Saccharomyces cerevisiae S288C: one gene and its partners. The gene in region 4 interacts genetically with the main gene of each other region. Each region holds a gene or a part of one and is shown on either strand. Other genes may lie near its edges.

What was found.
Region 1: mutations in ENV9 (region 4) and ROY1 together harm fitness more than expected from each alone (negative genetic interaction), as found in Saccharomyces cerevisiae (2 studies listed by BioGRID).
Region 2: mutations in ENV9 (region 4) and SND1 together harm fitness more than expected from each alone (negative genetic interaction), as found in Saccharomyces cerevisiae (2 studies listed by BioGRID).
Region 3: mutations in ENV9 (region 4) and INA1 together harm fitness more than expected from each alone (negative genetic interaction), as found in Saccharomyces cerevisiae (2 studies listed by BioGRID).

Annotation. Positions count from the first base shown.
Region 1 is NC_001145.3:781,121-786,808, forward strand, and holds ROY1 (Roy1p), read right to left. Parts: upstream 3,162-5,688; coding exon 1,500-3,161; downstream 1-1,499. Other genes in the region: PET111 (Pet111p), read right to left, coding at 1-911; tRNA methylation protein TRM732, read right to left, coding at 3,501-5,688. UniProt on the Saccharomyces cerevisiae protein: Non-SCF-type F-box protein involved in the endocytic with the vacuolar sorting pathway. Acts as a repressor of YPT52 by inhibiting the formation of active, GTP-bound, YPT52. Involved in the defense mechanism against methylmercury toxicity.
Region 2 is NC_001136.10:831,739-838,591, forward strand, and holds SND1 (Snd1p), read right to left. Parts: upstream 3,755-6,853; coding exon 1,121-3,754; downstream 1-1,120. Other genes in the region: UPS3 (Ups3p), read right to left, coding at 196-735; chaperonin-containing T-complex subunit CCT6, read left to right, coding at 4,683-6,323; SLY1 (syntaxin-binding protein), read left to right, coding at 6,654-6,853. UniProt on the Saccharomyces cerevisiae protein: Functions in the SND pathway, a SRP (signal recognition particle) and GET (guided entry of tail-anchored proteins) independent pathway for targeting a broad range of substrate proteins to the endoplasmic reticulum.
Region 3 is NC_001144.5:948,374-954,646, reverse strand, and holds INA1 (Ina1p), read right to left. Parts: upstream 3,492-6,273; coding exon 1,464-3,491; downstream 1-1,463. Other genes in the region: YLR415C (uncharacterized protein), read left to right, coding at 50-388; PUN1 (Pun1p), read left to right, coding at 503-1,294; YLR412C-A (uncharacterized protein), read left to right, coding at 4,174-4,380; BER1 (Ber1p), read right to left, coding at 5,455-6,273.
Region 4 is NC_001147.6:794,409-798,429, reverse strand, and holds ENV9 (Env9p), read left to right. Parts: upstream 1-1,636; coding exon 1,637-2,629; downstream 2,630-4,021. Other genes in the region: SRL1 (Srl1p), read right to left, coding at 122-754; DGA1 (diacylglycerol O-acyltransferase), read left to right, coding at 3,098-4,021.

The DNA of each region.
Region 1 (5,688 bases), on a different chromosome or scaffold from region 4:
TTAGAAAAACGTAATAACATTCTGTGTATTATCGCGAGGGTTTTGAACGAGGGAAGGTTAGTTGAAGAGGATTGCTCATCACCACATTTCACTTTCAACCAGAGATAAAAGATGTGTTTCATACTGGACATATCTAGATATCTTTCCATACATCGGAGAAACTCAAAAAGCTGCTTTTCAGTTATTGGAAATGTATCAGGATTGGTAATTGCTTGCGTGTAAAATTCCACCGCTAGTTGAGTGTTATTACTCCTTATGAAAGAGTTTAATCCTAAAGATATCATTTGTGGCTTTACTTTGCAATATTTGATATATTCTGCAAATAAAGTTTCACAGACATCAAAATGATGTAAATTATGCTGTACTACCAACATAATTTCGATGAACTGACCATATGTGCCTTTATCAGTGTGGCTTGCTAATAAGGGCGTGAATTGCTCATATGTTGTGTATATTTGTCCAATATCGTAGTCCCTTTTCAAAAAGTGAAGAGAATTTATTAAGATCAGTAATTGCTGTATTGAAAACAAAACCTTTTGGTTAGTGGAAAGGCTAATTATTGTCATCAAAATATCTGGATCTGCACTTTCGAATTTTTGCTTCCACAATATTCCAAAATCTTTGTCTTTCACTATATTATATTGATTCTTAAGAATATCTAAGCTGCTGGGGCTTTTGGTAATGGAGTCCATCCAATCGAGTTTATTCCGAGACTCATACACACCGCTTATTGTTGAAGAATCTTTTAGTTGCGCTTTAACCCAATCCTCAATATCTTCCTTATGCTTTTTTTTGATCAACTCAGTTGAGTAATATCGTACTTTAAAGAAAACAGTGTGCATAACCTTGTTTGATTCTCTGTGAAGTAATCTCTTTATACCACTGGAGGATATAAATCTCCGTTGTAACATTAAGTTCTCGTAAGCAATTGTTTAAATTTAATAGGTAGTGATAAAAAATTTGACGATATCAAAGTTGTGGTGTAATTAATAGAATACATGAAAAGTTATGATCAACATAAAAATGCTCTATACCAGATAGAATTTTATAAAAAAGGAAGAGAATAAAACGATAATAAAAGGAAAGACAGGTTAAACGATTGGAATGGGGTCTTCAAGTTACAAATCTAGAGGAAAGTGTAGACCTAGTGCAGCAATTGTAAATTTTGAACCTTTCTGTGGGGGGAGGGGTTTCTCAAAGTATCAGATAGTATTATGCACGGTAAATAAAGCCTAACAACAAGAAGTCCAAACAATAAATAACAACCGTTTCTGATCCTTGGATCGTATACAGAAGCTTGTTCATTTCAGTTTTTTCATTGTCTCTTCCTTCGGTATGCCTACCTTTCTGAAATATATGGTTATTATTCGAAGAACTCGTAAGGTCCGGGTAATAATTATGAAATGCAATAGTAAAATATAATTATTACTCAACTGGCTGTATATATACGAACTCCTTCAACAAATGTACATAAGAAATGTTTATCACAACTATCAAGTTTAATCATAAATAGTTTCATAAGTGTGTAATTCTGGGCTCACGCTAAAGTATATTCCTGACAACATAGTTTGGCGAAGGTTTGGCAATATCTTTATCAAGTAGTTCATGTAAGGATAAAAAAAATGCGATATAATAGTGGCTAAGGGCTCAAATGAGGATTCGTCAAAATAACATTCATAACTTGCAAAGTGATGAATTCTCTCAAAGCCATGGAAATTCCACGTCGTATCCTCAGGGGCATACTGTAGTAAATCCAAATCCCAGTTCTTCTGAGGATCAAACCTCTTAGCTAGAGATTTTCCAGTATATGCTGCAAACACTATCGGTATAATATCCAAGTATCTTGCATCCGGGGTCGAAAAGTATTGATGATTCATGATGTACTTATCAAATAATGGTAAGTATTTGGAGCAGAACGCACATTTGCAGCCGTTCCACAAAAGGTCACACGCATACATTTCATATGAGGTGATGGACTGCAATACAGTTGGAGCTATTATTGTTTCCAACGAAGTTAGCTTTGGTAAAACCTTTTCATAAAGTTTTTTACGGCGAAGCAAGTTCCCATCAACAGTATCAATGCCCTTGCCATTTAAAGGTGGGTCATGTCGTATGCTTAACAAACGCAAATCTTTACTCACGTTTGGTAAATTTAAAATAAACTTATTAACGACCAAGTCCCATTTCTCGTCCATGTAATGGTACCCTTTTTTGGTGAATGTCTTTTCAATGAACCCCAGACTTGTTAAGGAAACAAGGTTTCCTGTTATATCTTGAAGAAAGTCATCATCACATTCACAGTCGTCCACCTCACAAGAAAATTCTAATTCAAGGGCTTTAAGATTGGATAAATTAACTACATCCTTAAACGCGCGTGAAGATAATCTCATAGAAGTAGCACTCCCATCACCTTGTTTGTGAACATGATTAAGCTTCAAACGGCGCAGATTCTTGAAGCGGAGGTTCAGGGAATCAAAGTATTCAAAGACCCTTAGGCTTGAGTACGCTTCGTCCTTTATTTCTAACTCTCCTCCATTAAGTTGCTTCATTAACATTACACCCACTTCAGGGATTATTACGTTTTGCAAATCCAACGATTCAGGTAATTGCCATTTTAAGCTTTTGAAGTTTTGCCATAATTTGATACCATCAAATCCAGTTTCGCCATATACTACTCTCTTCTTTAAACTTGACAGGCGATAATACTTTGCTGAACATAACTCAAACAAGGTAGGATCCTTGATGTCAAGACTTTCAATCACGTCCAAGTCAGTGATTTCATTGACCAATCTTTGTAACAGTTGCAATCCTTCTTCCCTGTTGTGAAACAAATCCTCGTCAATAGTCAGCTGTTTTATACATTTTAAATGCGATGTCTCCAACAACCTTTCAATTCTATCATATAAAAATATGTCATTCTTGTCACCGGTTTTCAGAACAGATCTATAACCACTTACATAAGTTTTTCCCCCGTCCAAAAACCATTTGTTTGTTCTTAAAACAGGATTCTTAGTTATGTGAATATTGCTATAAAGACGAGGGATTGCAATCATGTCATGCATTTTTTTGGATGTTAGACTTAGGCTTAATAAATCATTTTGATTAAGAAATAAGGAGGCATGCGAGAACACTATGAATATATCTTGATCTTGGAATGCCATTTGTCAGTATTACTTTTGTTATATCATGTGAGCACAACTGTCGTTTTCACAATAGTTCAAATTGACTAGAGAGTTAGTAAAGGGGTACAACTTGCTTTTGTAATAGGGCACACCTTTAATTTTCCATCCATGAACATTTTTCAACAAAAAAAGAGGTGGAAAAAATTCAAAAGAAAATGACAACGGTAAAGAAATTAAATCAAGTTCCATCATTGTATTTAGAATAGAAATCGACATGCTTTGTAATAGGTTCCACAATGAATCTCGTCACTAAATCCACAAGTAGGTTAGAGATGAATCAGATTATATGCAAAGTATATATCTGTACATATTCATTATTTATAATTGGGAATAACTGATAATTAGGGGATGAACAGAATGTTTAGTCAGAACATTGATAAAATTCTCATAATCAGAAGGAGAATAATGTTGAATCAGTTCCTTTAAAAGCGTTATTCTTGAAAATATTTCAGCATTAGAGCACCAGCCGAGTGGGGAATCTTTAAAATCCTCGGTGTTGAAGTGCTCCAATAGAGCACTTTTTAGGTGATGTATCTGGTCTTTGTAACACTTTGAGATATCCCTTCCAGTCAATTTTATCATATTTAATATATGCATTGCCTTTTGTAGTTCGTTGATGAACTGGTTATCCTTTTCTATAGTAAATAGACAATTCTTCGCCGATTCTTCGGCAGCAAACATATCATATTCATTTAGATATTGAAACAACTGTAAACACAACTCTTCTACCACCTCAGAACTTGTGAATACGTCAACAAACTTTTTTGTGAATATAAGAGCGGTCACACTGGTGTTCCTGTTATATTCCCAGTCTGCAGTTTGAATAAAGTTCTTATTCAAATAAAAAGAAGCCTTTTCTCTTATTTCAGAATCATCGTCCCATAAGAAGTTGTACAGTTGTAATAGTATTCTGGAGTTCTTACAACTTTCTGGATAAGCAGTTAAACATTCTAAAGATGCCAATCTAAAATCTTTTGAACAAGAATCGGCGAAAAATCCTTGTAACAAGTTCCATACCTGGTGAAAGGTTTGCGAAGACAATTTAGCACTTAGTGATGAAACGGCAGCAAGTTTTGTATCTTCACTATTATTTGTTTTTAGGAGATCAGTGCAGGTCGTCAGGGATAAAGTATTCTTTTTTCTTGAGAGAATTTTCACTACTAAAGCTTTAGCCATAGGCAGCAAATCTGGAACCCTGAGTAATAATTGTAGTTGTTCAAGAAATTCTGAGTTTCTTGTAGTTTCCCAGTGAAAGTTAGTATTCATGTACTGTAGTGTACTGAGCTGAGCCTCATAAAATGGAGAATACAATCCTAATAAGCAAATATCATCGAGATATATACTATCCTCATATTTTAAGAGCATGTCTAAGATTTGTGCAAGATATAGCTGTTTGCTACCATCCACAACATATTCGTTATTTTCAGCAATAAATGTGTTCCGCAAAGTGCTGATATAATCTTTTAAAATAGAATCAGGTATGTCGCATGTTTCCAATATACAGCAGGTCAATTTTAAGTAGGCCTTTTTAGTGATAAAGCACTTGTTCTCTAGTAGAAGCATCCTTTTCTTTTCAAGTATCCTTTGAATCAACTCCATATCTCTAGTTCCTGAAAGGTATTGTGGTACTAGTTGTTGGAGTGCTAGTAAGTGTCCATGTAACTGGTTTTGCTTCGCGATAGAAGCCAAGTCAAGTAATTTTCTTATCTCTTCTTCAAAATTTTCCGACAGCATATGCAATACTCTAGAGGCCATATCTCTGATCTTCCAGTTCTCATTTGATAAACATTCATAAACAGAAACGTTGAATTCTTTTAGACCAGTATAGCCAGCTGTAGGCCGTAACCTCAGTAGCACATTAAGGACCAAGAAAATGCTTTCAATTTGATATGATTTTCTTTCACTTCCCGAATATTGAGCAATAGAACTGTTTAGAATATTCAAAAGCAGTTGCCTCAAGCCAGAATATTTGGTAAAGAATAATTTTGCACTAACGCTTCTGCCCACTTTTCCAAAAATTCTATTTTGCAAGGAGGTAAACAGCATGATAGAACAGTTTCTTAGAGCCCATATATCACAGTCGAAATTCAATAAAGCTAGTTCTAATGCCTCTGAGACAAATGACGTACAGTGTACAGAGAGCTTCGGTTCAACAAAGATTGCGTTTATACAATTAATAGCATTAACCTGTGGTAAATCAAACTCATCTTGATGGGGAGGAATTGGTAACCTTGCAACGAGTAGTAAGTTTTCAAAAGTTTTTTGTAACAAAGGTCTCCCTTTGGTAACTTCTGCACTTAAGACGGTTGTGACCAAGAAAGGCAAGCCTCCTGACCTTCTTGTAATATGTTGAGTTTTGGATTTTAAAGATTTTACACTCTTGCTTAAAAGTTCTTCCAGAATAGCGGGAAATTCAAGTTGACAACGAATACAAAATGCCTTTAGCCCCGGTAAAACGGCTTGGAAGGCGCCACTATGACGAATAGTAGAAAGCTGAACAATAAAA
Region 2 (6,853 bases), on a different chromosome or scaffold from region 4:
AAATATTTGATTTATATCAAGATGACACGAGTTTGCAAAAAGAGAAAGACACGCTATAGAAACTATTTTGGCAAATTAATCTATTCACTTATTTTTGAGTTTCTGAGTGTAGTTATATGCAAAGAGGCTATAAATCCTTATTTTTTTGAGAAAAAATGCTTGAGAAAAAATGCTTGAGAAAAGATGTATTTTTTTTTATTCGTTAGCATTTTTCCAGATATCGTTGAACATTGCTAGAATACTATCAAACCCGACTTTCCCCTTCACCGCGTTATCACTAAAACGTTTAACGCCCCAGTTTTCTACTTTCTCACTAAAGGTTTTGGTCGGAACACCAGACAGAAACTTTGCATCCTGCTTGAAAAGAGTCACATTCGATGGATTTTTCGGATGAGGAACATAACGTACGGTTTCGTAACACTTCAAAATATGCGGGAAGGTCATATTGCAACTCCTCATAGTTAAAGATCTGTCCCTTCGATCAACGGTGGAGACCTCTCGCACGTATGCTAAATTAGTGTTCCCCACTAAAATGGACATCCAGTGAGGGGTGTTCTGACGTATGGTTATCAGCCGTTCTGTAAGAAGTACATCGCCATGTTCTTTGAGCTCTCGGCGGAGCACATCGACTGCAATAACGTGTGTGGAGATCTTGTTTGGATATTTCATCCAGTTCGCCGTGGTGACTTTCTCCCATGGGTAATCGAATTCATAAGATTTTTGAAATGATTTCATTATTAATATATAAGCTCGAGAGATATATGACTAATAGAAATATTTACTTGAACTTGTCGATTAGAGAAAAGAAAATGCGTTGCTTGGACCGCAGATCCCACTTATTGTTTTCTTGCCAAATGTAACAAGATCTATAGGTTTATGAACTTTCTTCGAAAATCTCATTACTTTTTTTGATAAATAAACGGGCCCCTTGCGGACAAAGCCCTGAAAATTGAAGATTTACGCAGTATCACGTAAACCCAAAAAAAAAAATACAATATCGGTTAAAGTGCTGTTTTAATTTAGAATATATGTTTTACTAATCTATTTATAATCAAGTATATGTGTAATTTGGCTTTTTCCCTTGCCTTGTGCTTAACCTAGTTTTTTTCAGGTGATTATTTTACCGGGCATTACCTCCTAATACCCATCCTCCCATGTTATCCATATCATCTTCGCCGTATAAATCCAGGGTGACGGCTTTTTTATAAACGGGTTTGGTGACTGTAGAATTCGAGTTTGAGTATTTCACTCCTTCAGTTGTTACATCTGTAAAGCCTGCACTATCATTGTCATCATAGAGATTTAGATTGAAATTATTGGAATTTATACCAGTATTATTGTCGTTATCATTATCATTATAGTTATCATTGTCTGGGTGATTCGGTACTATTGTGCTATTAGTCGAATCGTTATCGTCCTCGCGTTCTTTGGGGAGAGATCCAGACATGATTTGGTCTTCTTCCTCGAGATTTAGTAACCTATGACTGGAATTGTTACTATTTTTAATGCTATTCGCCATCAACGCATCTGTAGGCGTTCTGGACTTGAAGTTTAGTGCCAAACCATTCTTTTCCATGTTACCATTCATCAAGGTGCTAAAAAGGTTAACTGATGGTTGTCTTCTCAGTTCTTCAAATGACTTGTTGATCAAATTCTTCTCAAATAGCAAGTTACTGTTTGAATTATTTCTCATTAGTAATGGAGATGCCTGTTGTGTATGTTGTGGAATTGGTGAATTCAAGAATTTTTGCTTCTTACTTGTGTCATTTAATAATTTGGAAAATGCGTTTGATACTGTAGACATGTCATTCAACGAGGAGTTTGAACTACTTGCGCTTGTAGAGGGCGTAGATATTCGGGAAATAAATTCCGGAGGTATCAATCCATTACTAATAGAAGGAGCCAAGTTTCTGTTCATCAAAGATTTCCTTTTAATAAGCGTTGCAGACGATAGATTCTTTTTGTTGTTGATAGTGTCTGTCCCGTCAAAATCACCATCGTGCACGTAGACGTTAGTAAAATGGTTTGAAGAGGTCGATCTTTTAGGTGATGAAGCCCCTGCAGAATCGGGTTGTTGGCTGTTTGGAAATTTCTGGTTGAACGGCTTTTGCAGAGCAGGGTCCATTAAACTCAAGGACCTAAACCTACCCCTTGTTTCCTTCGAATTTTTTGCCATAGAATCTATTCCGGAGGATAACACGTCTGTGCTCGAACCAGAGCGGGACAAAATGCTTGGAGCGTAAAAGCTCAAACCTTCATCGTCACTCTCATCGTCATCGTCATCATCGTCATCATCGTCTTCATCATCATCATAGTTGTCTTCATTTCCACCTTCTTCATCATCGTAATTAAAGCCATATTCATCTGCGTATGAGGTTCTATCCTGCTCTTGTTCCCCTCGTTCTTTTGTATAATCGTCATAATTATTATTGTTGTACAGGACAATTTCCTCATTCTTAGCACGGTCTTGCACTTCGTTGATTTGGTTGTTTAACTCGTCATATACTAGTTCGTCGTTTGATGGTGTCTTTCCGTAGGGGAAGGGAGAAGGCGATCTGGACATATTAGAACTAGAATAGGATTGTGAACGGGAATGTGGATGCAGATGCGATTGTAAATGCAGTGCAGTTCCCGAAGGCTGCTTGCGTAGGTTGGATTCCTGACCAATAAGATTGTTGATTGACGTTGATGGGATAGTTGTGATGGATTCGTTCGTTTTGAACATATGTGCCCTGTTGGATTTTCTGTTGATAGACAACGACCTAATTCTGACGGACTTGTCTTTATTGGAGGTTAAAACCGAGTTTTGAAAATTCAACAACGACGAAGAGTTTCTTTTCAAACTTGTGTTGCTCTGGTCGTCGCCCTTATCTTCGTTAACAGCATCTGAATATTCATGTAGCGCTTTTATTGATTCCTGGGAGATAAGGCTGGTGAGAGGGTGGTCTGACAACAAAGTCAGCAGTGCTTTTACCCCCGTGCTATTCGTGACAATAACTATGGAATCCAAGACAGTCTGGTCTTGCATGCTACCATTGCTCTGGTTTGAGCCGGTGAATTTCTCGTTCAACTTGGTGTAGTACTCTTTGAACGGGAGTGACTTGGAGTTCTGGATTGTCTTAGTGAAAGAACCAATATTCTGCCAATTAATGATTTTTAAATTAAGCAGTTCTGCGTTCAGGAAAGTAGAAAACCACTTGAGAGAGGTGGGAGAAACGTTGATCTGGAAACATAGGTTTAGTTTCTTTTGAACATACAAGTCTTTGAAAGAATTAAACAATTTTTCAACCAAAAATCTTATGGTCTCCACGTAACGTAAAGACCCCGAAGACGACACCAGTACATTCAGATCAAACTTGTTTTCCGGTGTGCTGCGAGAGCTGATCAGACTTTTCAACTCCTCCCAAAACTTATCGTTATCTTCCGCAGTAGATGTGTTGGAAAAACTTTGCGCGATCGAATTTCTAAGCCGATGCAGCTTAAACCGTTTATTCAGTCTGGAAAGCTTGTTATGAGTCATCTCATCGTTGTAGTAGTCGATCGTAGGGATATCTATGTAAAGTAGGATGTTAAGCTTCTTTAGCGAAGGGTACCGGTCCGCCAAAGACGCTTGTACCACTGTCTGCTGCATGTTGGAGTAAGTGATCAGAAACAGCGAGTCCTGTGACTTCACACTAACTTTTGGTGAAGTGGACTGGGCAAAGCGACGCTCATTAATGCTCGCGGCTGCTGCGTCCGTACCGACAGTGTCCATCGTAGTGTAGGCTTCCCAAAATTTAGGATGTGATTAGTAATAGTGGTTGATTGCGAGCTCCGGGATGCGAGGGAGAGCGTGTATGTGTACTTCAAGTTCGCCAACTTCTCTCTTAAATAGAAAAAGAAAAGAAGAAAAAGGAAACGAAAAAAAAAAAAAGTAGGGAAAAGCTGAGTGATGAAGATCCGGGCTGCCAAGATTGGGTTTGAAACGTGTAGTCAGCTACAAACCAAAAATTAAAAGAACAATAGCAAAGAACCTTAGTAGGAAAACAATAAAATAATAGACACGACACCCGTAGAAAGATAGAACGGGACGAGGGGCCGGTTCAACAACTATCATACTTTCTTGTTCAACAACGCGATTAACCCAAATAATAAAAAAGCTACGAGACAAGAACAGACGAGGCAATACGAGCAACGAGCGCAACGAGAACGGTAAGCATGGCAACGGCGCGCACACCCACGCCCCGCAACCGCACACCTCAGCTCAAAGTAACCCACTTTAACGTGACTGGACCTGAGCTGTCTGACTCGGTCGTTTGCAAATAGGTTAACGCCGTCGCTTCTCCCTTTCGTGTACCGTATATCTTTCTTTAATTGCATTCCCTTGTTGTGATTATCGTTTCCCATTGCAGTGAGCTTTCATTTTGGGGACCCTGGGAGTAGGCTGTTTTTCGATAGAGTGAGAGGTGTGGGTTCTGCGGCAGAATGGATACGGGCCGTGGATCACTGTTTACGGGAGTTTTGCTTTGGTGGCAAAATTTTCGCTCGGTGATGTGTTAGTAGTTGTTATTCTGGTAAGAAACGAACGAAAGACGGAAAGGATTATGTATAACAGTGTATGTGTGCAGTGTGTGGAAAAGGTAAAGGTTAAGGGTGTGGAAGCAGTGAGAAGCAGAAGATTATAATATAAGTAGAGTAGAAGCATGTCATTGCAATTGTTGAATCCGAAGGCTGAATCGTTGAGAAGGGATGCGGCTTTGAAGGTTAACGTCACATCTGCTGAGGGCTTACAATCCGTCCTAGAGACCAACTTGGGCCCTAAGGGCACGCTAAAGATGCTTGTGGATGGTGCTGGTAACATCAAGCTGACCAAGGACGGTAAAGTGTTGCTGACCGAGATGCAGATCCAGTCGCCTACAGCGGTACTGATTGCTAGGGCAGCTGCCGCGCAGGATGAAATCACGGGCGATGGGACCACGACGGTTGTGTGTCTTGTGGGTGAATTGCTTAGACAAGCGCACCGTTTCATTCAAGAGGGCGTGCATCCGCGGATCATCACTGATGGGTTTGAGATTGCGCGGAAGGAGTCCATGAAATTTTTGGACGAATTCAAGATCAGTAAGACGAACCTTTCCAATGATAGAGAGTTCCTTCTGCAAGTGGCCCGGTCGTCGCTGCTAACCAAGGTGGACGCTGACTTGACGGAGGTCTTGACGCCCATTGTAACGGATGCGGTGCTAAGCGTGTACGACGCGCAGGCTGACAATTTGGATTTACACATGGTTGAGATCATGCAGATGCAGCACTTGTCTCCTAAAGATACCACTTTTATTAAGGGTTTGGTATTGGACCACGGTGGTAGGCATCCTGACATGCCCACCCGTGTGAAGAACGCGTATGTTTTGATTTTGAACGTATCTTTGGAATACGAGAAGACTGAAGTTAACTCTGGGTTCTTTTACAGTTCTGCGGACCAAAGGGACAAGTTGGCCGCTAGTGAGAGGAAGTTTGTGGATGCCAAGTTGAAGAAGATCATCGACTTGAAAAACGAAGTTTGTGGCATGGATCCAGACAAGGGTTTTGTTATCATTAACCAAAAAGGCATTGACCCCATGTCTTTAGACGTGTTTGCCAAACACAACATCTTGGCTTTGAGAAGGGCCAAGAGACGTAACATGGAAAGATTGCAATTGGTCACTGGCGGTGAAGCTCAGAACTCTGTGGAAGACTTGTCGCCTCAGATTCTTGGGTTTTCTGGCTTGGTCTACCAAGAAACCATAGGCGAGGAAAAATTCACATACGTTACAGAGAACACTGACCCCAAGTCTTGCACCATCTTAATCAAGGGCTCCACTCATTATGCCCTCGCTCAAACAAAGGATGCGGTGAGAGATGGTCTCAGAGCTGTGGCAAACGTTCTCAAGGACAAAAACATCATTCCAGGCGCTGGTGCGTTCTACATCGCCCTTTCGAGATACCTAAGATCTGCCAACATGAACAAGTTGGGTGCCAAGGGTAAAACAAAGACAGGTATTGAGGCGTTCGCAGAAGCATTGCTGGTAATTCCAAAGACTTTGGTGAAGAACTCAGGATTCGACCCATTGGACGTGCTCGCAATGGTGGAGGACGAGTTGGATGACGCTCAGGATTCTGACGAAACGAGATATGTTGGTGTGGACTTGAACATAGGTGATTCTTGCGACCCTACCATCGAGGGTATTTGGGATTCCTACCGCGTACTAAGAAATGCTATTACCGGTGCTACAGGTATTGCCAGCAACTTGTTATTATGCGATGAATTGTTAAGGGCAGGTAGATCCACTTTGAAAGAAACACCACAGTAATAAAAAATAATAATAATAATAATAATAACAAGAACACGAATACTAGTAGTAATAGTAGTCAGATACAAAAATTCTATGTAACATATTTTTTCCAGTCACTATCATCATCATCATATTTTGTATATATACATTTATTATATAAAATATCATACCAATTTTTGCCAAAGAACACCGTTTCCCTCTTCGCGTTGACCACAGTAATTGCAGAAACGACAAAAAAAAAACAAAAAAAAGAAGCACCATTCTAACTCAGCCTTTAATAACCTGACATGATAACTTATAATAGTCATTGCCAGTTGCTAAGTATCTTTGACCAAAAATCACAACATCATGGCTGTGGAGGAAATTGCGTCCCGCAAGGACATTAGTTTAAGAGATATGCAAATCTCTGCCATATTAAAAATGCTGTTTTTAAATAAGGATTTGAACAACAACGACAACATCACCACCATCACAGACGATATTTTTAACCAGCAGGAGATCATCTGGAAGGTGTTGATACTGGACATCAAGAGCACTGCTACCATATC
Region 3 (6,273 bases), on a different chromosome or scaffold from region 4:
GTTAGTCAGCCACACATTGACGTACACTGTGAACAGCCTATTTCTTTCCATGTATCTCAGTGCCCAGCTTATGAGAACTGTCACAGCCTCCCACTTGACCCTCAGAGCCCTCTCCACTCCCCCCCTCTTTCAACATCGCCAGATAGCCGCCGTTGAATGGTGCGGGACAACCCGGCCTGGCCTGGCCAGGCAAAAAAGGACGCAGCACGCCTCGAGCGTTATTTCCAAATCGGGCGTACTATCAGCCAAGCCCAGCTCGGTATTTTTAGCGCTTCTCGCAGGAAAATTGGCTGAGAAGTATATATACGCGAGAATGTTGCTCTTCCATGTCTCAGTAGTCAATGAGTGTCCAGTGGTGTTTCATTCTGGACCAGTTGTTTGGAAGTAGAACTAAAAGAAACTAGATCAAGATCATACAACGCTGCGCAGTAGTGAAACTTGATTAAAGCAATAGAGAACTATTAAGAAAAAAACAAACACATCATCGAAGGACGCTATAAGCATGAGGAATTTTTTCACGTTATTTTTTGCAGCTATATTTTCGCTAGGAGCACTTATATTAGCCATTGTTGCATGCGCAGGATCAACGAAAAATTACAGTCCCATAAATAAAATTTACTGTGCAGAATTGGATCTGTCGCAGATGAAGGTATCGACGGTGCTCCCTTCTTTGAGTTCTGCTACGCTATCTTCGTTGGGCCTGCCCTCATATATAAATATAGGGCTTTGGTCGTACTGTACAGTGGACTCCTCGCATAACATCCAATCATGTTCTTCGCCTCACGGTATCCAGAATTTTAACCTATCGTCATTAGTGTATGACAATATCAACAACAATGAGGCTCTGGAGCTTATGGATTCCGTGGCCAGTGTTGTTTTGCCCGAAAAACTAAAAAGTAAAATGACATACTACAACAATTTGGTCAAGTGTATGTTCATTACCATTCTTATTGGTATTGTCTTGACCTTTGTGAATCTAGTGTTCAACGTATTGCGCTGGATCATCCACATAAGGCCGCTAACGTGGTTTGGTGCCTTTTTTTCATTTTTCGCCTTTGCCGCCCTATTAGTCAGTATAGGTTCGTGTTTGGGCACTTACTCATACATCAAATACATCCTAAAGCATAACTATAGTGATTACGGTATTTCAATGAGCATTGGTAGGAACTACCAGGGTTTGATGTGGGGGGCTGTCGTTGGAGCATTACTGAATTTCATTCTATGGTGTAGCGTGAGATCGAGGCCCACCGTCATCTATGCGAACGCTCCAATTGAGGAAAAACCATTGATTTGAATTTGAAAAAGGCAAGGTTATTAATTAATTTTTGTGTTCCGTTTCATATTAAATATGATTAAAATATATTGTCTATATACAATTCAGAAAATTATAATGAAGAAAATTAAAAGGATGGAGAATTGAAAAAATTTACGGGGTGATGTTGCATGATCTTCTTTTTATTATTTTACCTTGCAAAGTTTTTTTCAGCATCAATGGGGCTTTCGTGTTCTTCAATGATTCTTGAGGTAGTAGAGTCACTTTCTTGAACAGCTTTCTCAGCTTCCACGATGGCAGCTCCCTTTCTGCTGCTCCACCAGCAGTATGCAATGCAGAGAAATACAAGGACGGCAAATACAAATCCAGACCACATTAGGCCATAAAATGGAGAAGAGCCAGAAATAATGACATCGTAATTGTCCTTCTTGGAGCCGGATTTCATCATATTAAGGATGACGCTAAAGATTGTGCTTCCCAACCCGCTGAAAATACATATCCAACAGGAAATAAAGCCCAATGCCAACCATAATTTTTGACTCACCACGGAACGTCTACTTAGTAGCAACAAGAATACCATTAAGAAGAAGGATGTGATTATGCACATTAAGTTCATAGCTAAAGCTGCTTTCACTGCTGGGACATACATGTGTTGTCTGTCTTGTAATTCACCATCTAAATGCAAATCGTCCTTACCGATGTTCAGGGCATCCATATAAGGTTTAAAGTCCGAGCCTTCAATGTTGTTGTAAACAATCGACCGGAAATCCATGTTTTGAACAGCGTGTGACTTGCTACACGAGTACATTGTTCTGTTTAAGTGAGCACGACACATTGTGAAAATGGACAAACGGTATATGACAGGGATGTGTAGATATTCAAGGATAGAAGGAGTCATTTCCTTGAGTTGTTCTGGTGTGATAGTTGTCATGTTTACAGCAGAGTTTAAAATTTTCAACATGGGCATAAATGTAGCGGCATTAGTTTCTGCCCATTTGGTGATATTAACCAGAGAAGAGAAACTTGACACGGGGTCGCTTGACGCAGCTAATAGGCTGAACAAGTATGGAACGTACTTAAGTAATACGGTGTTATTGGCCAATTGGGATTCCAAAGTAGGGATTATGGAAACAACTGTGGATGCGTTAGCACTTGCAGAAAGGATTTCATCAAGTGCCACCAATTGGTTAGTAGAGGAAGCGGCTTCTTTAGAGAGGGCCAAACTTTCGACAGATGTTAGCAGCTCTGTTTGGTTTGTAGTGTAATTCAACAAGTCAGTCAAAGCACCCATGGCAGCTTTAGCGGAAGATGATTGGGTAATGTTTTCGGCAATCATAGTGCTCAATACGGATAATGTTACATTTTGAGATGTAGTTTCATCAAACAGAGTAACAACAGCTTGGACAGCTGGTTTTAAACTCGAAGGAACGAGGGAGCCTAATTGCATAATAGTTTCAGTAGCATTGCCACCTTCCGCAAGACTGGTTTTTAGACTAGAAAACAATGAGGAGACCGTTGAAGTTGGAATGGTAGAGTTCATTATGGTTTCTAACGCATCGCATGTGGCAGTAATGTTCTTGGAACTTGCGAATAACTCGAATACAGGCGACAATTTTGTCTTTTCTTCTGTGGTCATATTATTTAAAGTGATCAAAGACTCAGTAGTGCCTATAGGATTGGTCGAATCCACTAATAGGGTTAGAACAGTATTTTCTAAGGAAGCCGAAGTAGAAGAAGTGTTGGTTGACATAGATGACATCAATGTGCTAAACCCATCCAAGAGTTCGGTTGTGTTTTTAGAGGTAGTCAATAACTCATCAAGAGCGGAGAAGGTCGTGGTAGTAGCGGTATTGGTTCCTAGCAAAGCCATTGGAGCCAACTGTGTCAAAGATGATAATGTGGCTGAAGTGTTAGCAGCATTAGACAACAAGTGCAGTAAAGGAGACAAGGCTTCGGTAGAAGCGATTGCCTTAAGAGCGCCGAAGATGGTATCCACCGTTGTATTTGGAGCGGTTAGAGCAGAACCTAACACAGTCAAAATTGGGCCAACTTGTGGCATAACTTTTGTAACGTTGATTTTTGATATATCAGCATCACCGATATAAATGTTCGTTATTGGCTTATAATTTGAGGTAGAACCCGCAGTTGCAATAATGGTCAACAGAAATGTTGTAAGTGTCAATAAAGCACAAATCGGGAGGAGTATTTTAAAATTCATCGCAATAATTTGACTGTATTACTGAATTTTTATTTTACTGTATCAGCATCGCATCTACAAGCTATTATGAAGTAAATGAAAATCTCAAGGCTTAATGTGAGTAAATGCAGCTAGATTGTCAAAGGTTTATATATTTTGTCGTTCTTTTTACAGGAAAAAAAAATTCTGTGTAGAAGTGTAAGATCTATGATTGCAGCAGCTTGAAAAGCGATAAGTTTGTTGAGGATTTAACAATTTCAACTTTTTTTTTAAGCAGAACAATAGATTGACGTAGTTAAATTTGTCTACTAAGATCTGTAGGCAAGTTTTTTTTTTCCAGGGACGACGCCGTATAGAAAAAAGCAACTAGGGAATTTACCAGGCCATAATGCGGTGGATTCAAGCTAAACGAGTACTGAGGGGAACTTTAATCTTCAAGGCGGTATCCAGGCGGATTTACGAAGCAACTGACGGAGTGCTGCAGGAATTTAAAGGAGAGTTCTGGAGCGCTTAAATGCACCTAAACAGTATCCACGGAACATACTGTACTAAATACACGTCAAACGGGAACATTTCAAAAAAAACTTAATAATATAACTCAGTTTTTTTACATAGTGATAAAAGTGATATATTCAAGTCTTTTTACTATTTGCTAGGCATCCAAACCGTTTTGTTTAGACGTATCACTATTTTAGCATCACTTATGCATTTGTGCCAGAATGGACACTATTACAAACCCCACCGTGCCTCAGCTGAGAAGGTCCCTTACCTAAAGAAAAAGAAAAAGAATTCTCGAAACGAAGGCAAGGCAAAAAAAAAGAATGAAAAGAAAAAAATAGGAACTGTTGAATTTTTTCAACAAAAAAAAAAAGAAAAAAAACGGGTCCTAAATGCGGTGTGTGGGTTATAAGATGCCGCAAATGAAAGAATGCTATTTAGAGTAATCGATTATCATTCTTATTATAAGCTAAGTTGGTCAAGATGACCTGTTTGACCTAAAGACAAGCACTAACGCAGGCACCGCACTAGTACTTAAGTTTTCTTACGTGAAAAGGAAATATGGGTGATATGTGTCTGTTCCACTCATATCTTTTGGTTTCTAATTTTACGTAATCTCTTGTATTTTCTTGAGAGGGTAAATTTTCACGACGCGTCAGACGCTTATATGAGGGACGAAGTTACATATTTGAATGCATTAATCAAGAACAATATTGTTGAGTAAGCGAATAGCTACCATTGTTCGCAGTTCTAGGATCGCTAAACAGAAAAGGTTACTCTCCACGTGTTTAGAGGGCTACCCACAAACCGTCATAAATCATACCTCCTTCTTTGACGAGCGTATTGCGCCGTTCGAATGATTCATTCCGCCAAGAACTAAATGAACTTCAGGTTTGGGTCTTTCCACTTTCTTAACCCAACCATTCGTTTGCGTCCTTTTTGCCCCAACCTTGATCTTAAAAAATTGCAAGAAGAACTTTATTTATCAATTCGCCCGCGAAGTTAAAAAAAACCGATCTTCGCAGGCACTCGTTAGAACTTAGAAACAGTTCCTCTTAGGGCAAGCGCCCTTGTCGTATTTAGCCTTCTTTAAGTTGAGCTGTAACGTTGTTCGAGTCCGAGAAGTATCCTTGACAGGGACGATAACCATCAGCAGGAAAAACGGTATTTTCATTTATATCCTTTCCTCGAGGAGGGCTTGAATTATGCAATCTCTAAATACTATTCAATTCAGAGAGTAGATTTTTGTGGGCAAAGTAGACGTCGCTCTCTTTCAGTATACGTTCTTGAGCTTTCCATTTCAATGAACCGGCAACTAAGTTGGTATCCTTTCATGATCCTGTCGAGTACATTTATAACAATCATGTTGATTGTTCCAGTATCATAGATAAAGCGGTCTCGTGTCGTTATTGATGGTAAAGCGTCAGGTTACGATGCCCTGAAAGGTTACAGTTTAGTTATAAAGTACTATGTAGTGAATGATATGTTAGTACTCTATAGCATGTAACGTCAAGTCAGAGAAGGAATTGATCCAGGGTTTTTCCTTCAAATACTTTCCTTCATCAAAATCGGTGAGTATTTGGCAGGACTTAAACTTCGGTGCTATTGAATCATAGTCTATATCAGATGGTGTGACCTTGAGTTTAGAGGAGTTGTTTCTGTTTTTTCTTTTTCTCTTTGGAATGAATGTTGCAAAACCATCTACATCATGTGCTTTTTTAACTTCTGGCGGAGCGTTAGTCTGCAAGTAATGAACTAGCTTGCTTAAATTAGGATAGTTTTCACAAAGTTTTGCTTTGGTGTATCTATCGGTGTGTGATATCATATTATTTGCCAGCCATAAGTGTGGTCGCTGTGACGATAGTATGTTCTCAGTTAAATCCAAAGGAGCATGGGGAAGGAAATATAATACCGATTCATAATCAATTGCATCGTTCTCTGAAAATTCTTCCTCTATCAGCCATTTGCTTCCTAAACTTTTCAAGTACTGTATCTCTTCTTTAGTAAATATTGGATCATACAGGGAAACAACGACATCCCTTTCATCCTCACTTTTTATATAATCAGTAATCTCTAGGAGAAGAGCGAATTGGTACGTCGCAGGAAAATCCTCCTTGAAATTTCCAATTGCAACACATCGTATTTTCTTAATGTTATTGAGGTGCGGTTGTAAATTTTCAAGTAAATCTGAGAGGAATGCTGATTTTTTCAGAACATCTCTATTTGTCTGAACAATTTCTTCAAACGCTTTAGCAGGCACTACCTTCTTGCCAGTTTTCTTAAACTTTGTCCCACTTGCTTTAAA
Region 4 (4,021 bases):
GTTGGAACTTAAACTGATGTATTTAGGTAGCAGAAGGATAGAGTTACAGAAGGTGAAATTGTCAATACAGATACAAAAAAGAAACAAAAAGAACTTAAAAGGACACGTTTGAACTCATAATTCACCAACTGGTCGAATTAGTAATCGAAGTGGTGTTGTACCATTGTACGTTACCTGGAGAGGTAGTGGTAACAGAAGGTGCACCGGTGACAGTAACGTATTGTGTAGTCGTATTTGGGGTGACTGTAACGTACTGGGTAACGGGCTCATTGGTGACAGTGACAAACTTTGTGATTGGGACGCAACCATTGGAAGTTGAAGCCTGTTCAAAGGACTTGACCTTTGCATCTTTGTTGTTTGAATCTTCGTCACTGACACTTGCTGCAGTAGATGATGGAGACAAAGTAGTGGAGTCATGAAGGGTTAGCAGCAAAGTGGACGTGATAGTCGAGGTGGAGGTAATTTCATGGGTGGATTCTGGGGTTACAGATCCAGAGGCCGAAGAGGTGGACAAGGAGGAGGAGGCCGCATTGGTAATGGTGGCTGAAGTTGAGGTGAACCAGCTCGTGGAGTAGACCGTTGAGGTGACAAAAAAGGTAGTGGTGTCGTCGGCGTACGATATGGTAGTCTCTTGGGGCACCAAGGAGTAGCTGGGCGCTAAAGTGGTAGTTGTAGAAACAGTATTGTTTGAATAAATCGCTGACACAGAACTTGCGAAGGTTAAAAGAGCGAAAAAGACAACGGATTGAAGCATTTTTTTATTTTTGGTTGATAAAGAACGACTAAGGTGAGAGTGAAAGTGATGTGATTTTTAATTATGTAGTGTAATTGAAACAATAAAAAAAAAACAAGGGAATGGACGAGACCTATTAATGGGTACTATGGCTCAAATAGCAAAAAAAATTTGTAAAATGGGTAAAAAAATGAGAGAAATACGCGAGAAACCTCTTGGTTGGATGTTGTGCTAAACTAGTTGCTTAAACGCTTGCAAAACTTTTTTATAGATAAAATATGCCAAGTGAAAAGAAAAGGAAGCAGAAGAGAAAAACTTAGAAAGGTAGAGGTAAGAAAGAATAAACCAAAATGTAAGCTAGGTGAGGGAAATATTTTGGAGCTTAAATATCTCGAACGACACTCACTCTCGTCAGAAAAATCTGTCGAGTAACTCAGACCACCTCCGATAGCATACCTTGTTTAGTTTCATAATCGGCAGAGACGTCATTCCTGCACAGAACGCCAAAATTCGTGGCCCCCGCGGTACCTGAATCAGGGCCAAGAATTTTGGCGTTTCGTGTTGTTGACATATTCCGAAAAAGGTATTGAGCCACAGGTCTTTCGCGTCTTCTAAGCCCCAAGATAAAGAAAATGCCGCCCTGCTTAATCACTGTTTTTTTTTGGAAAACCCTGAAGTATAGAAGTAGGGCATTGAAAGAAAAGATATGCGGGTAAGATATGAAAAAATTGAGGAAATGAGACCCAAGTGTACATGGGTATATATAAACAAATCATTATGGTGCATGATGCATCACTTACAATGCACACACACTATTGTCTTTGTAGAAACGGGGAAGACAATGGTTGTAGGCCTGATTGGTATTAGAGGCATCCGCAGTACGAGACATACGCCAAAGGCAGAATGTTAGACCCACGAATATTGCCATACTACGACCCGGCTGTGGAGAGGAAGATTGCTGTAGTAACAGGCGGAAATACGGGTATTGGGTGGTATACTGTCTTGCATTTGTATTTGCATGGGTTTGTCGTTTATATTTGTGGGAGAAACTCTCACAAGATTTCGAAAGCAATCCAGGAGATACTGGCAGAAGCAAAGAAGAGGTGCCATGAAGATGACGACGGTTCAAGCCCAGGCGCGGGCCCAGGTCCAAGCATTCAGCGTCTAGGGTCACTGCACTATATCCATTTGGATTTGACAGACTTAAAATGTGTGGAGAGAGCGGCACTTAAAATTCTCAAGCTGGAAGACCACATAGACGTGCTTGTTAACAATGCAGGGATTATGGCGGTGCCCTTAGAAATGACGAAGGACGGATTTGAAGTGCAATTGCAGACTAACTACATTTCGCACTTCATCTTCACGATGAGATTATTGCCTTTACTGCGCCATTGTCGTGGCAGGATCATTTCCCTGTCCTCGATAGGCCATCATCTAGAGTTCATGTACTGGAAACTGAGCAAGACGTGGGATTACAAACCTAATATGCTTTTCACATGGTTTAGGTACGCGATGAGTAAAACCGCGCTAATCCAATGCACGAAGATGTTGGCCATCAAATACCCTGACGTTCTTTGTCTCTCCGTTCATCCGGGTCTGGTGATGAACACAAACTTATTCAGTTATTGGACAAGGTTACCCATCGTCGGTATTTTCTTTTGGCTGTTGTTCCAGGTCGTAGGGTTCTTTTTCGGCGTATCGAACGAACAAGGTTCACTAGCTTCTTTGAAGTGTGCATTGGACCCGAATTTATCTGTCGAAAAAGATAACGGGAAGTACTTCACCACGGGGGGTAAAGAATCTAAATCGAGCTACGTTTCTAACAATGTCGACGAAGCGGCATCGACTTGGATCTGGACCGTTCATCAACTAAGAGACCGTGGTTTCGATATATAACAAGACGGAAAGATTGAAAGAGTAGATAGATGTACATTTTATTTAAATATTAGTTAGTCGTTATTGTAACTGGTAATCAGAGCAAGAAGTTTTTCTGTACTTTGTTCTCTGCAGGCAACTAAGTTACGGGCCGACAAAGGCTTATGATGTGCGTTTTTTATTCAATTGATAGATTCAGTCAGCATTGACGTAATGGGAAGGCTAGAAAAAGAGAAGACTGAATTTGGAAACTTATTCCTCAAAGCAGACCAGTACTTCCACCGCATTTCTGTACTTAACCAAGCACGACAGTGGTCTATCAGGCTTGGATCTTTCACTACACTTCCGCCAAAGTTTTTTTTTTTTCCTGTTTATCCCAGATCACGTTTGTTCCATTAAGGAGGTTTACTATCATCTCATTTCCATTTACACATACACTTACATATACATAAGGAAACGCAGAGGCATACAGTTTGAACAGTCACATAAATGTCAGGAACATTCAATGATATAAGAAGAAGGAAGAAGGAAGAAGGAAGCCCTACAGCCGGTATTACCGAAAGGCATGAGAATAAGTCTTTGTCAAGCATCGATAAAAGAGAACAGACTCTCAAACCACAACTAGAGTCATGCTGTCCATTGGCGACCCCTTTTGAAAGAAGGTTACAAACTCTGGCTGTAGCATGGCACACTTCTTCATTTGTACTCTTCTCCATATTTACGTTATTTGCAATCTCGACACCAGCACTGTGGGTTCTTGCTATTCCATATATGATTTATTTTTTTTTCGATAGGTCTCCTGCAACTGGCGAAGTGGTAAATCGATACTCTCTTCGATTTCGTTCATTGCCCATTTGGAAGTGGTATTGTGATTATTTCCCTATAAGTTTGATTAAAACTGTCAATTTAAAACCAACTTTTACGCTTTCAAAAAATAAGAGAGTTAACGAAAAAAATTACAAGATTAGATTGTGGCCAACTAAGTATTCCATTAATCTCAAAAGCAACTCTACTATTGACTATCGCAACCAGGAATGTACAGGGCCAACGTACTTATTTGGTTACCATCCACACGGCATAGGAGCACTTGGTGCGTTTGGAGCGTTTGCAACAGAAGGTTGTAACTATTCCAAGATTTTCCCAGGTATTCCTATTTCTCTGATGACACTGGTCACACAATTTCATATCCCATTGTATAGAGACTACTTATTGGCGTTAGGTATTTCTTCAGTATCTCGGAAAAACGCTTTAAGGACTCTAAGCAAAAATCAGTCGATCTGCATTGTTGTTGGTGGCGCTAGGGAATCTTTATTAAGTTCAACAAATGGTACACAACTGATTTTAAACAAAAGAAAGGGTTTTATTAAACTGGCCATTCAAACGGGGAATATTAACCTAGTGCCTGTGTTTGCA